3 linked regions of the Daphnia pulex genome follow. The main gene of each other region encodes a partner of the protein of the gene in region 3 in a complex. Links are inferred from orthologs where the notes say so. Each region holds a gene or a part of one and is shown on either strand. Other genes may lie near its edges.

Region 1 (3,448 bases), on a different chromosome or scaffold from region 3:
GGGACATTTTCCAATCGTGAAGCCCTCCTAAACATAATCGTTATCCATTCGTCGTCACGGAATTTCGCTAGATATTCATTGTTTCTATTTATCATTATTTTTTTTTTTTGTTAATTATTATTTGCTTGATTTGTTAAAGCAGCGCTTTAACATGACTTCCGGTTAAATCTTTTTTTTTTCCTTCCTTGGTGGACCTAGGGAACGGGGTCCATTAGTAATTTATTATCCTATATAATCTTTTTAGGTGTTTCAAAACTAGCCCAGGGCATTTTGTTGAGTGGTGCTTACGGCAGATCTTATCCTGGTTTTCTCTAGCACACTTGTTTTAATGTAAATATGATTTGTGGGGGGGATGACTTATAAATGAAGTCTACAAAATTTTAATATTCTTGGGAAACCGGTTGTAGTTGGAAACAAAAAAAAACCGCCTTTATTATCGAATGTTTCTTCGTTTATGTTTTTCCCTGCCCCAGAATAAAACTTTGTCTGCAGTATGAATAAACTGATCCACACCATTAATGTTTGGGAAATCGAATGTCAACTTCTGGTTCAGCCTGAGCCATGTTTATTCGAAAATTAAATTATTCTTTTTCCATTTCGAACTGCTTACGAACCATTAAAGCGATTTCTTTTATCTTGTCCGGTAGGAGAAGATCCTTGATCTACATAAAAGCATTATATAAGTTAGCATTGAATTATTTAGTTTCAATGTAAAAATAATTACCTCAAGCCCAGCATTTACGGAGGCTTCGTAGGCATGCATAATGCTGGTATCATAGATCATCATCTTGCAGTGCGCCAAAGCTGTCACACAATTCCTTAACCGGCTTATAGCTTGTCGATCGGCATGCGGAACTGTCTATAGGTTTCAACAGAATTAGCTTCCACGTGATAATGTACAAACATCGACTTTTTAGTACGCACCTCCAAGTTTTGAACAAATCCACCGGCGCCATCGTCAAGGAGCGTAGGGCAGATCCAAACAAATCCATTGTTACCCATAATGATACTTGCTCCGCAAGGCAAGTTGTGGAAATGAGTCTTCTGTCTTCGGATCAAAGATGGACTAACTTTTATTAGGCAACCTTGGGAAAGCTATAACAGATAAATGGTTGTTATTACAGTTAATATTTTAAATAACTTATTGTTATACTTTTCCATATTTCATGCTGCGGGTGTGTAAAGAAAGAGCTCCATCATTGAAGATGTTTTGAACCTCTGCACTGACCAAATCTCCTTCTTTCAGGTATTGCCTCATGGCTAATTCATCTTCTGCTGATCTTCTTCTCTAAAAGCATTATGAGATATAAATATTTGTGTAATTGCACAAATAAAAAGTCTTTCTTACGAGTTCACCACCAGGCAAATTGACTGACTGAAGAAGAAGCACTGAATCTAATCTTGCATTGGTGTCCAGTTTCCAACGTTTCTGTGAAACCTCAGTAACCCTACCAATTACGACATCTCCAATCTCCCCATGATAACGAGATTTCAAGGGTCTAACTGAAATAAGTTGGTTGACTCTCTCCACAACTCCAGCAACACTGGAGTACAAACAGTCATCTTGCATGTATGTTCCATGACCCCTTAGCAAAACATAAAATAAGATTATCATCAAGAAAATGGCAAAACTTTTAACAATCTACCTCATGAATCCTGTTTCCTTTGTGATCAAAGAGCCAGGTGTGACAAGATGTTTGGGTTCAGTAGAATCAGCGACGATATGAAAAGGAGGCACTTCAGAAGCAAGGCGAATGTCTACCATTCTTTTGGTTTTAATTATCCTAATGTATCAAGTTCAAAAAAAAGGAAACAACAGCACACTTGAAAATGACAATAATTCATCGTGTTCTGCTATACCATGCTGCTACGTTGCCTAAGCTATGGCGATATCAAAATATTTAAGAATATAAATATTTGTGGATATTCTTGTCAAAATGATATTGTGCAATTTAAATCGACTAATTAACTTATGTTCGAAATGGAAAATATAAAGTCAACTGAAATTTTTTTAACGAATCAAATAAAACATTGCGCGAATCACATTAGTATTAATTTTTGCCATCAGATGTCTGTTTGTTTATATGCCGATTCATTTCATTCGTCCGTACAAGTAAATGTCACTAATTTGCCAAAAAGCAATACTTTTTTCAACAACGATATGCGTTGCTGGGCGACAACGAGTATCTTGGCACTTCCTTCCCAAGACTGCTCGCAGAGGTTGGCAACGTAACCTTGTCTCGAGATCACTTCATCTCCAGCATCGTCCCGAAATGGAACCCGACAGTGATGAACAGCAGAGAACGGAACTGTTAACGACCCTTGAAAATTTCAGATGGCTCGGAAGTAAAACCCCTTGTTTCCCTGTGAACGGAAATAAGGTTAGTGTTCTAATAAGGTATTTTATTAGTGTCTTCTAGTAATAGTTGTAAAATTTTTTCTTAGGTTCGAGTTTTGTCTGATCCTGAAGATTTCTACAAAACACTTATTGAAAAGACTAGTCAAGCAAGTCAAAGAGTCACTTTTGCATCCTTATATCTTGGAACAGGAAATCATGAAAATGAGCTTGTAAAAACAATTGAAAGTACTTTGAAGAAAAACTCTGGCTCCAGCCTGAAAGTTCGAATTCTGTTGGATGCAACAAGAGGCTCTAGAGGTGCCCAATTCAATTCCCGTACAATGCTGCTTCCCTTAGTTCAGTCCTACAGCCAGCAGTGTTCAGTCCATTTTTATCACACTCCAGCACTTAGAGGATTATTAAAGAAAATTCTCCCAGAAAGATGGAATGAAATTATTGGCTTGCAACATATGAAGATTTACATATTTGACGATTCCTTATTAATCAGTGGCGCAAATTTAAGCCACGATTACTTCACAAATCGGCAAGATCGATACATAATTATGGAAGATTGCAAAGATTTAGTGGATTTCTTTGACCAACTAGTAGAAACTGTGTGCCAGTTTTCATTTCATTTAAGTGAAAACAACTGCCTTAACTTGAATTCCGCTTTTCCTCACCATCCGTTTGAATCCAATCGGCTTGAATTTACAGAAGAAGCAAAACGGAGAATCAACAACTTGTTTGAAAAGCAAATAAAAGCAAATGTTTCGTCCTCGATATTTCAATGGCCGAATCCGTCTGCTTACGACACCTGGATCTTCCCTTTCGTCCAGATGGGGCAGCTAAACATTTACATGGATAACATCTTGACGCGCGAGATTCTAGAAAACGTACCGGCAAACGCCGAATTATGTCTAGCAACCGGGTACTTCAACCTGACTCAGGACTATATGGATAGTTTGCTAGAAGCGTCCCAGCCAAATGTTCACATTCTCATGGCACATCCTCTGGTAAGCCCCTATCACCATTCAAACAAACGTTCTCCCATTTAATTTGATTGATTTATTCCCAATAGGCCAATGGTTTTTTCGGGGCGAAAGGATTCGC
Region 2 (3,021 bases), on a different chromosome or scaffold from region 3:
GAATACAACAGCTTAGCAACTTAAAAGGCAAAAATATACACGGCAAACACACTTAAGCAACGACAGTGATGACGTAATATAATCAAAACAAAAAAGCTCTCTGGTTACTACAATAAAGGCGTTGTCAGGTGTATAGTGATGCATGGACGTGGAGGTAATTGGATCGGCGTGTAATGTTCAAAAACACTTACCCGTTGATTAATAAAGTTGCAGGCCAAATCTTTGAGCGTTTTCAGCGTTAACTGGGAGGCATCCGTGGAGATAAAGTCTCGTACCAGTCCAACTTGGAACATAAAGGTCACCTGACCATTACCATCATCCATGATGGAGCTTGGATCCAAAATTTTATGAAAAACACAATCACAATTATGGCGAAGTTTGACTTTTGGATGGCAGTGAAATTCGCACACACACAAAACTGGCCCTTTTTCGTTGGAATAGTCTGTGTGGTTGGTGTGTGTGTGTGCAATCAGGTGGGAGCAATGGAGTAAAAAAAAAAAAAAAACGGGTTCCAGCAACCAACAGGTTGATTGGAATGTCACATAGCCTCGGGCTGAGATCACCTTTTCTTTCGTCGTTCTCCCGCCCTGGCACCACTTAGATTTTTCCTTTTCTTTCTTCTTCAAAGAAAAAAGGTTGGGTTTTTACCTCCACTTGATTGCACGACAAAACTGAGCAACACGACTGTTTTAAAACCAACACAGATGGGAGCAGCACAACGCGTGATAACACGTTGGTGATGAAAAAAGTCGGTGCGAATAAGAGGGACTGGCTAATGGAAATGCCCAAACTAAATTCAATTAATACGCAGGTTTCCCAATCATGATGGCACACACAAAAAATTCACGTATAAACATCACACACACACACACACACACTAGCACACTTTACGTTCTCTCGAGAAATGCAGAAACAGACTCACGTACGTGTGTGTGTGTGTTTCTGACCGTGCAGCTCAAGTCACGATAACTTGGTAGTCTGCCGAGCTAATAAATACTGTCGCTACTCGGAGATCCGTCTTTGGCTTGCTCACAATTTTCTGGCCAAAAACAGCGTTGCCATTCTCTCGTGACTGAACGAACGAAATCCATGAAAAATACATATTCATAGCTACATTGGAAAATTGTGAATTTTTCAGGTCTTCTTTATTACAAATATAATAGTTGTTTTAAATTCATGGAGTTAAAAGTTATATTTTGTGTGATTAAGTAAATGGTTGCCATGGTAACTTAGAGACATCTGCAGACTGCTGTTGCCGACCCGTCAACCCCATGTATTTTTTACGATCACGTTGCTTATGCAGAAACAGGGCTGCGTTCTTAATCTGAATTATTGAATACTTTTTCAATCACAAAGAATTGCTTGCAATATTATTATTCGCCATGGAGACTGAAGAGAATAGCATTCGTGCTTTAAAGTGCGAACAAAGCGTACTGTCACGTGCAGATGGCTCGGTGATGTTTTCTCAAGGTAAGTTTAGATTTGTAACTTTTTCCACGCTGTTTTCGTGTTATTTTGTCCAAGTCGGTAAATTTTATTTTATTGACTTGTCATTTCAGGGAATACTGTGGTAATGGCTTCAGTTTATGGACCTTTGGAGGCTAAAATTCAAAAGGAACTGTCCGATAGAATGTACATTGAACTAAACTACAAGCCAAAAACAGGAATGCCAGGTTATTAATAACTTATCCTGTGTATTATTATTTCTGTAATATTGAATGCATTTTTATTTAGGTGTTGCTGAGCGTGGAAAGGAGAAACTCATCAAGACCACTTGTAATCACATTATTTTGACGAACCTGCACCCTCGAACAGCTGTCTGCATAACAGTTCAAGAAATGCAAGATGGTGGAACTGTAAGCACTTACCACAACAAATTTATTTTGATCAAGAATTAGTTGTTCACATTTTCCATAAACTAGTTGCTAGCAGCCTCCATCAATGCTGTGTGCCTTGCACTTCTTGACTCGGGTTTACCCCTGCAGTGTCTTGTAGCTGCAGTGACTTGTTTGGTAGACAAGAAGGATAGAATTGTCCTAGACCCATGCATCAGCACAGTCAAAGTATGATTTCCACTAAGAATTAACTAATTTTTTTCCCCCATTTTTTGTTGTTGTGCCTAACTTACTTTTTTCCCCATTACAGGAAGGTTATAAAGCAATGTTTACCTTTGCTTTTGACAGTCAAAAATACAACTTAATTCTGAGCCACTGTGAAGGCCAAGTTCCCTATCAACTTTTTCAAAAAGCCATGGAGCTGTGTCAGAAAGCCAGTCACGTCATCTTTGATTTCTACCGGCAAGCAGTACTACGAAAGTTTTCCAACGAACTTCTGTAAAACTTTCAAAAAATACACATTTTAAAGTTTTGTATATGCGACTGAAAACAAAGTATAATTGTATAAGTATAGGCTTGCTTATTTCCAGTATCGTTAAATTTCTTCGGAAAACCAATCCATCCTAATATGTCATGCGCATCTAGCAATACTCGAGTAATCACGTTCACCAAAACTATATCTAGAAGGTTTCCTGCCCGGAGCTTGGCTCCAATGCAATGCGGTACAATTTTGACACAAGTTATTTAGGTATAGTAAAAGTGCCGATTGTGAAATCAGAAAAAAAATAAACTTAACTTTGAAACAAACTCTTCTTAGAATGACATATGGTAGGTAGTTCTACCATTTTTAGGATTTATTCGGTCGGAAAATGTAGCATAAAGGAATTTCTTTTATGGTTATTCTGAAAATTTATTTCAAGGTGGTCTGGATATATCGAGTGCGATTTCAGCCTTTACGGTAATAGGCCTTGAAATGTTTTTCTCAATTAGAAAGTTTAGCCAATTAGGCTGTCAAGTCAAAGTCAACACAAATAAAGCAATTCTAAATTTAAGTCATGTATCACCTGATTCCAGTTTCGAGTTATTTTCCGATTGTTCCATTTCAGTAGCAATCGTAATCATGATTGTGGCTAAGTAAACGTTATCTTGTGTGTGGTGTCCATTATTAGACAAAAGAATCTAAATT
Region 3 (3,035 bases):
AATAATGGATTTGATTTGCCACTCATCTCAAGATGATAAAGTCTTTCTATAGGTAAATCAGTGCGAGTTCCACCCCTATCAGAATCCGAAAGAACTGAGGGCGTTCTGCAGAGAAAATAACATAGAATTCCAGGTTTGTACTCACATGGCTGCCAATCCGTCCATTTCAATGATCGCCAGAGTAAAACCCGTATACTGCTATTCAAGGGCTATTGTCCACTAGCCAACGGGATGATATTGAAGGAGCCTCCCGTGGAAAAAGTAGCCCAGTCATCTGGCAGATCTCCCGCGCAGGTCCTAATCCGGTGGTCCATTCAAAACGGAGTAGTCACCATACCAAAGTCCATAAAAAAGGAAAGAATTAAAGAAAATTGTCAGGTGAGAAATCTCTACGTGGAATTTCACACAGGGCTAATAATTATCGGTGACAACGTTACTTATAGGTCTTTGACTTTGAATTGAGTCCAGAAGAAATGGCAGAACTGGATACCATCCCAATGAGTTTGAGGGCTGTGGATCCTGCTGAACTTCAAGGAAAAATTGACGACAACAAACCTGACGGATACAAATTGCCTGCACACCTTCAGTATGTGCCTGTGTGAAGTTCCCTCTTCCATAGAACTTTTACTATTCAACATTTGAAATTGGAAAATTTTTGTATTGATTGACACTTATCACGAGAGAATCAGAATCCAGCTTGTCGATCTACAAATTTTCTACATAGTTTGTTCATTTCTTCTTTATTCATATGTTCAGAAATGCTAATGGCCCTTGCTAGAGCAATTGTTTGTTTGACAGACTTAGCCTTTAGCCATATCTTCCCATTCATCCCAACAGCAATTTCAAAAGACAGTGCTTTCCCCAGTGATTTCAGCAGTGTGCACTCTGGATTTAAGAGCCTAGAAATGTTAAGGTCATAAATATTCTTCATAATATTAATTTTAAAAACATGTAAACTCACTTGCGAATGTGGTGTAAGGGCACAGTGAAAAGGAATCCACTTGTAGACAAGACACCAAGACCGACATTCTCACCTAAGGAATTGACACACACAAGCTCTGGCTCCATGTCAATGCTCGCTATGAGCAACTTGGCAAATACCAAGTCTCCAATCTGTGTGTATAATTCACATAAGAACAATGTCACAAATGCAAAGCAGTCATCAAAATACTTGAATGTTGGGTTTATTCTTTTTGGTGGCTCCAGGAAATGCAATGCTTGAGAGTGAGGCTTCTTCGCTGGATCCAATGTTAACTTTGTAGGACTCTCCAACTTTATTGGTAACCACACCAATGACATCATCACCTCTGGCTGGAACATACTATTATAATAAGAATGTGAATGAATCGATTTACATGAATTAAATAGTCTAAAGTTTGTGAAAAATTACTCGTTTGTGGTGACAATCTATCCAATACGTGGCCGGCGAGGCTTTTGTACGTAAAACGCCAGGTTTGGTAACTAGAATCTGTTTTCCATACTTTCTCAATCCTGGCCCGAGTACAATCTTGACAGTAGAGATTTCATCTGTCTTTGAGAGCGTAACCGAATCACCAGGAAGATAAATCTGATTCACGTGGGTTGAAAACGATTTTTCCGCCATTTTTCTAAAAATTTAATAAACAACATCCGTCTGGCGGAAAAAAACAAAACCATGAATTACCCGTTGCGGGCTGCGGGCGCAGTTGACCAAAGGGCGATTTATGGTTATCCAAAATTACACGACAAATTTTTCTTTTACATTTGAAATATCAAATATGCAATTTTTGTTGCTGAACAATGCTATTAAAAACTTGTCAGTTCACTCTGATTTAATACACAGTTTTTATTTGCGCTTTTAACAGCCGAACATTTATTAACGGAATTTTAAATTATAGCTTTTTAATTATAATTATCAGTGTTAAATGCTATCAATCCCAGATTCCCAGGAAATTTTAATAAAAGTCGAGATTATCGTACATAATTAACATGTAATTAATTAGTGTTATCTGGGTCATCTGACCATTTGATCACAGATCAAAAATACTATAAAAATATTCTCAATAATAAGCTTCATTTTTCTCATCAGTAAAATTAAAGTTAACAGTTTTTGAAAGTAAAATAAATTCATTTACATCTTTACCTTCATACAAAACCAGAGAAAGGAGAAACGATATTATTTTCATCGGAAAAAAATCCCCGGAACTTGACATTTCCTACTCTCCTGCTTAGTGCTTACTCACTGGTGGCATTACTTTATTTTAAAAACAATGTGCTCTGTGCCGTTCGTAGAATGATGCATCACTTTCATCAAGCAAGGAAAAGAAAACAACTAAATTTCACATCGAAAGATGCAAAATATTTTATGTAAAATAGCAATGCCGTTAATAGTGGTATTGATAGGCTACATTTTATCTGCTAAATTGCTTAATGATTTATTATAGCATTTCCAAATTAATACTGAGCCGAAAGTCTGTTAAACAAACTATAATTACTATTTGTGGGGGAATCCCGATAAAACTTATAACTCACCACAGTTAAGATTGGTATACAATAGAACACATATTATACCGCTCAATGGAGGATGGTTGATTTTTCGGAAACTTGCTTGGTAAACGTTGAAAGTGTGTAGTTTGATTCCCCAATAAAAGTGCTGGTAGAGCTTGAGAGAGGATGCTTGACAGAACGTTTTCCCGCACGTTGCGCACTGGAAATCTTTGAAAGATGCATTAAGGTGTATGTCCTGACGTGCTCTTCAAGGCTAGCGTGCACGGGGAAAGTTTTTCCACAGAAACGTAGTTTCTGCGCCTTCAATTTTAGTCTTGATAGATTTTTCCTCCTCCGCGTAAATAGTTATGAACTCATTGTTAGCTTCTCAATCAGGATTTTATTCTGCTACTGAAGATCCGGTGGTATTGGGCTGCTGACTCTTATTCTTTTGCTCGTGTTCTTTGGCCACATGGATTCGGACGTCGCTCTTCGATGCTAACTCAACAGTCAACACCACAAAAAGGACCGGGATAAAGTTGTTCTTTGCTTTCTGATGTGTGAGTCAG

Evidence for each region.
Region 1: exosome complex component RRP40-like (region 3) and exosome complex component RRP4-like share a complex: the UniProt entries of both Homo sapiens proteins name them as parts of the RNA exosome core complex. The link is inferred for Daphnia pulex from reciprocal best matches to the Homo sapiens genes EXOSC3 and EXOSC2.
Region 2: exosome complex component RRP40-like (region 3) and exosome complex component RRP46-like share a complex: the UniProt entries of both Homo sapiens proteins name them as parts of the RNA exosome core complex. The link is inferred for Daphnia pulex from reciprocal best matches to the Homo sapiens genes EXOSC3 and EXOSC5.

What each region holds. Positions count from the first base shown.
Region 1 is NC_060023.1:8,701,363-8,704,810, forward strand, and holds exosome complex component RRP4-like, read right to left. Parts: upstream 1,880-3,448; 5' UTR 1,766-1,879; coding exon 1,647-1,765; intron 1,587-1,646; coding exon 1,349-1,586; intron 1,289-1,348; coding exon 1,154-1,288; intron 1,096-1,153; coding exon 925-1,095; intron 860-924; coding exon 725-859; intron 663-724; coding exon 582-662; 3' UTR 549-581; downstream 1-548. Other genes in the region: CDP-diacylglycerol--glycerol-3-phosphate 3-phosphatidyltransferase, mitochondrial-like, read left to right, coding at 2,118-2,381, 2,446-3,351, 3,417-3,448. UniProt on the Homo sapiens protein: Non-catalytic component of the RNA exosome complex which has 3'->5' exoribonuclease activity and participates in a multitude of cellular RNA processing and degradation events.
Region 2 is NC_060020.1:3,912,834-3,915,854, forward strand, and holds exosome complex component RRP46-like, read left to right. Parts: upstream 1-1,233; 5' UTR 1,234-1,382; coding exon 1,383-1,470; intron 1,471-1,559; coding exon 1,560-1,673; intron 1,674-1,734; coding exon 1,735-1,856; intron 1,857-1,922; coding exon 1,923-2,063; intron 2,064-2,145; coding exon 2,146-2,337; 3' UTR 2,338-2,371; downstream 2,372-3,021. Other genes in the region: serine/threonine-protein kinase D1-like, read right to left, coding at 192-323. UniProt on the Homo sapiens protein: Non-catalytic component of the RNA exosome complex which has 3'->5' exoribonuclease activity and participates in a multitude of cellular RNA processing and degradation events.
Region 3 is NC_060019.1:5,882,254-5,885,288, forward strand, and holds the end of exosome complex component RRP40-like, read right to left. Parts: 5' UTR 1,604-3,035; coding exon 1,391-1,603; intron 1,322-1,390; coding exon 1,172-1,321; intron 1,114-1,171; coding exon 962-1,113; intron 900-961; coding exon 686-899; 3' UTR 638-685; downstream 1-637. Other genes in the region: uncharacterized oxidoreductase ZK1290.5-like, read left to right, coding at 53-133, 208-378, 444-602. UniProt on the Homo sapiens protein: Non-catalytic component of the RNA exosome complex which has 3'->5' exoribonuclease activity and participates in a multitude of cellular RNA processing and degradation events.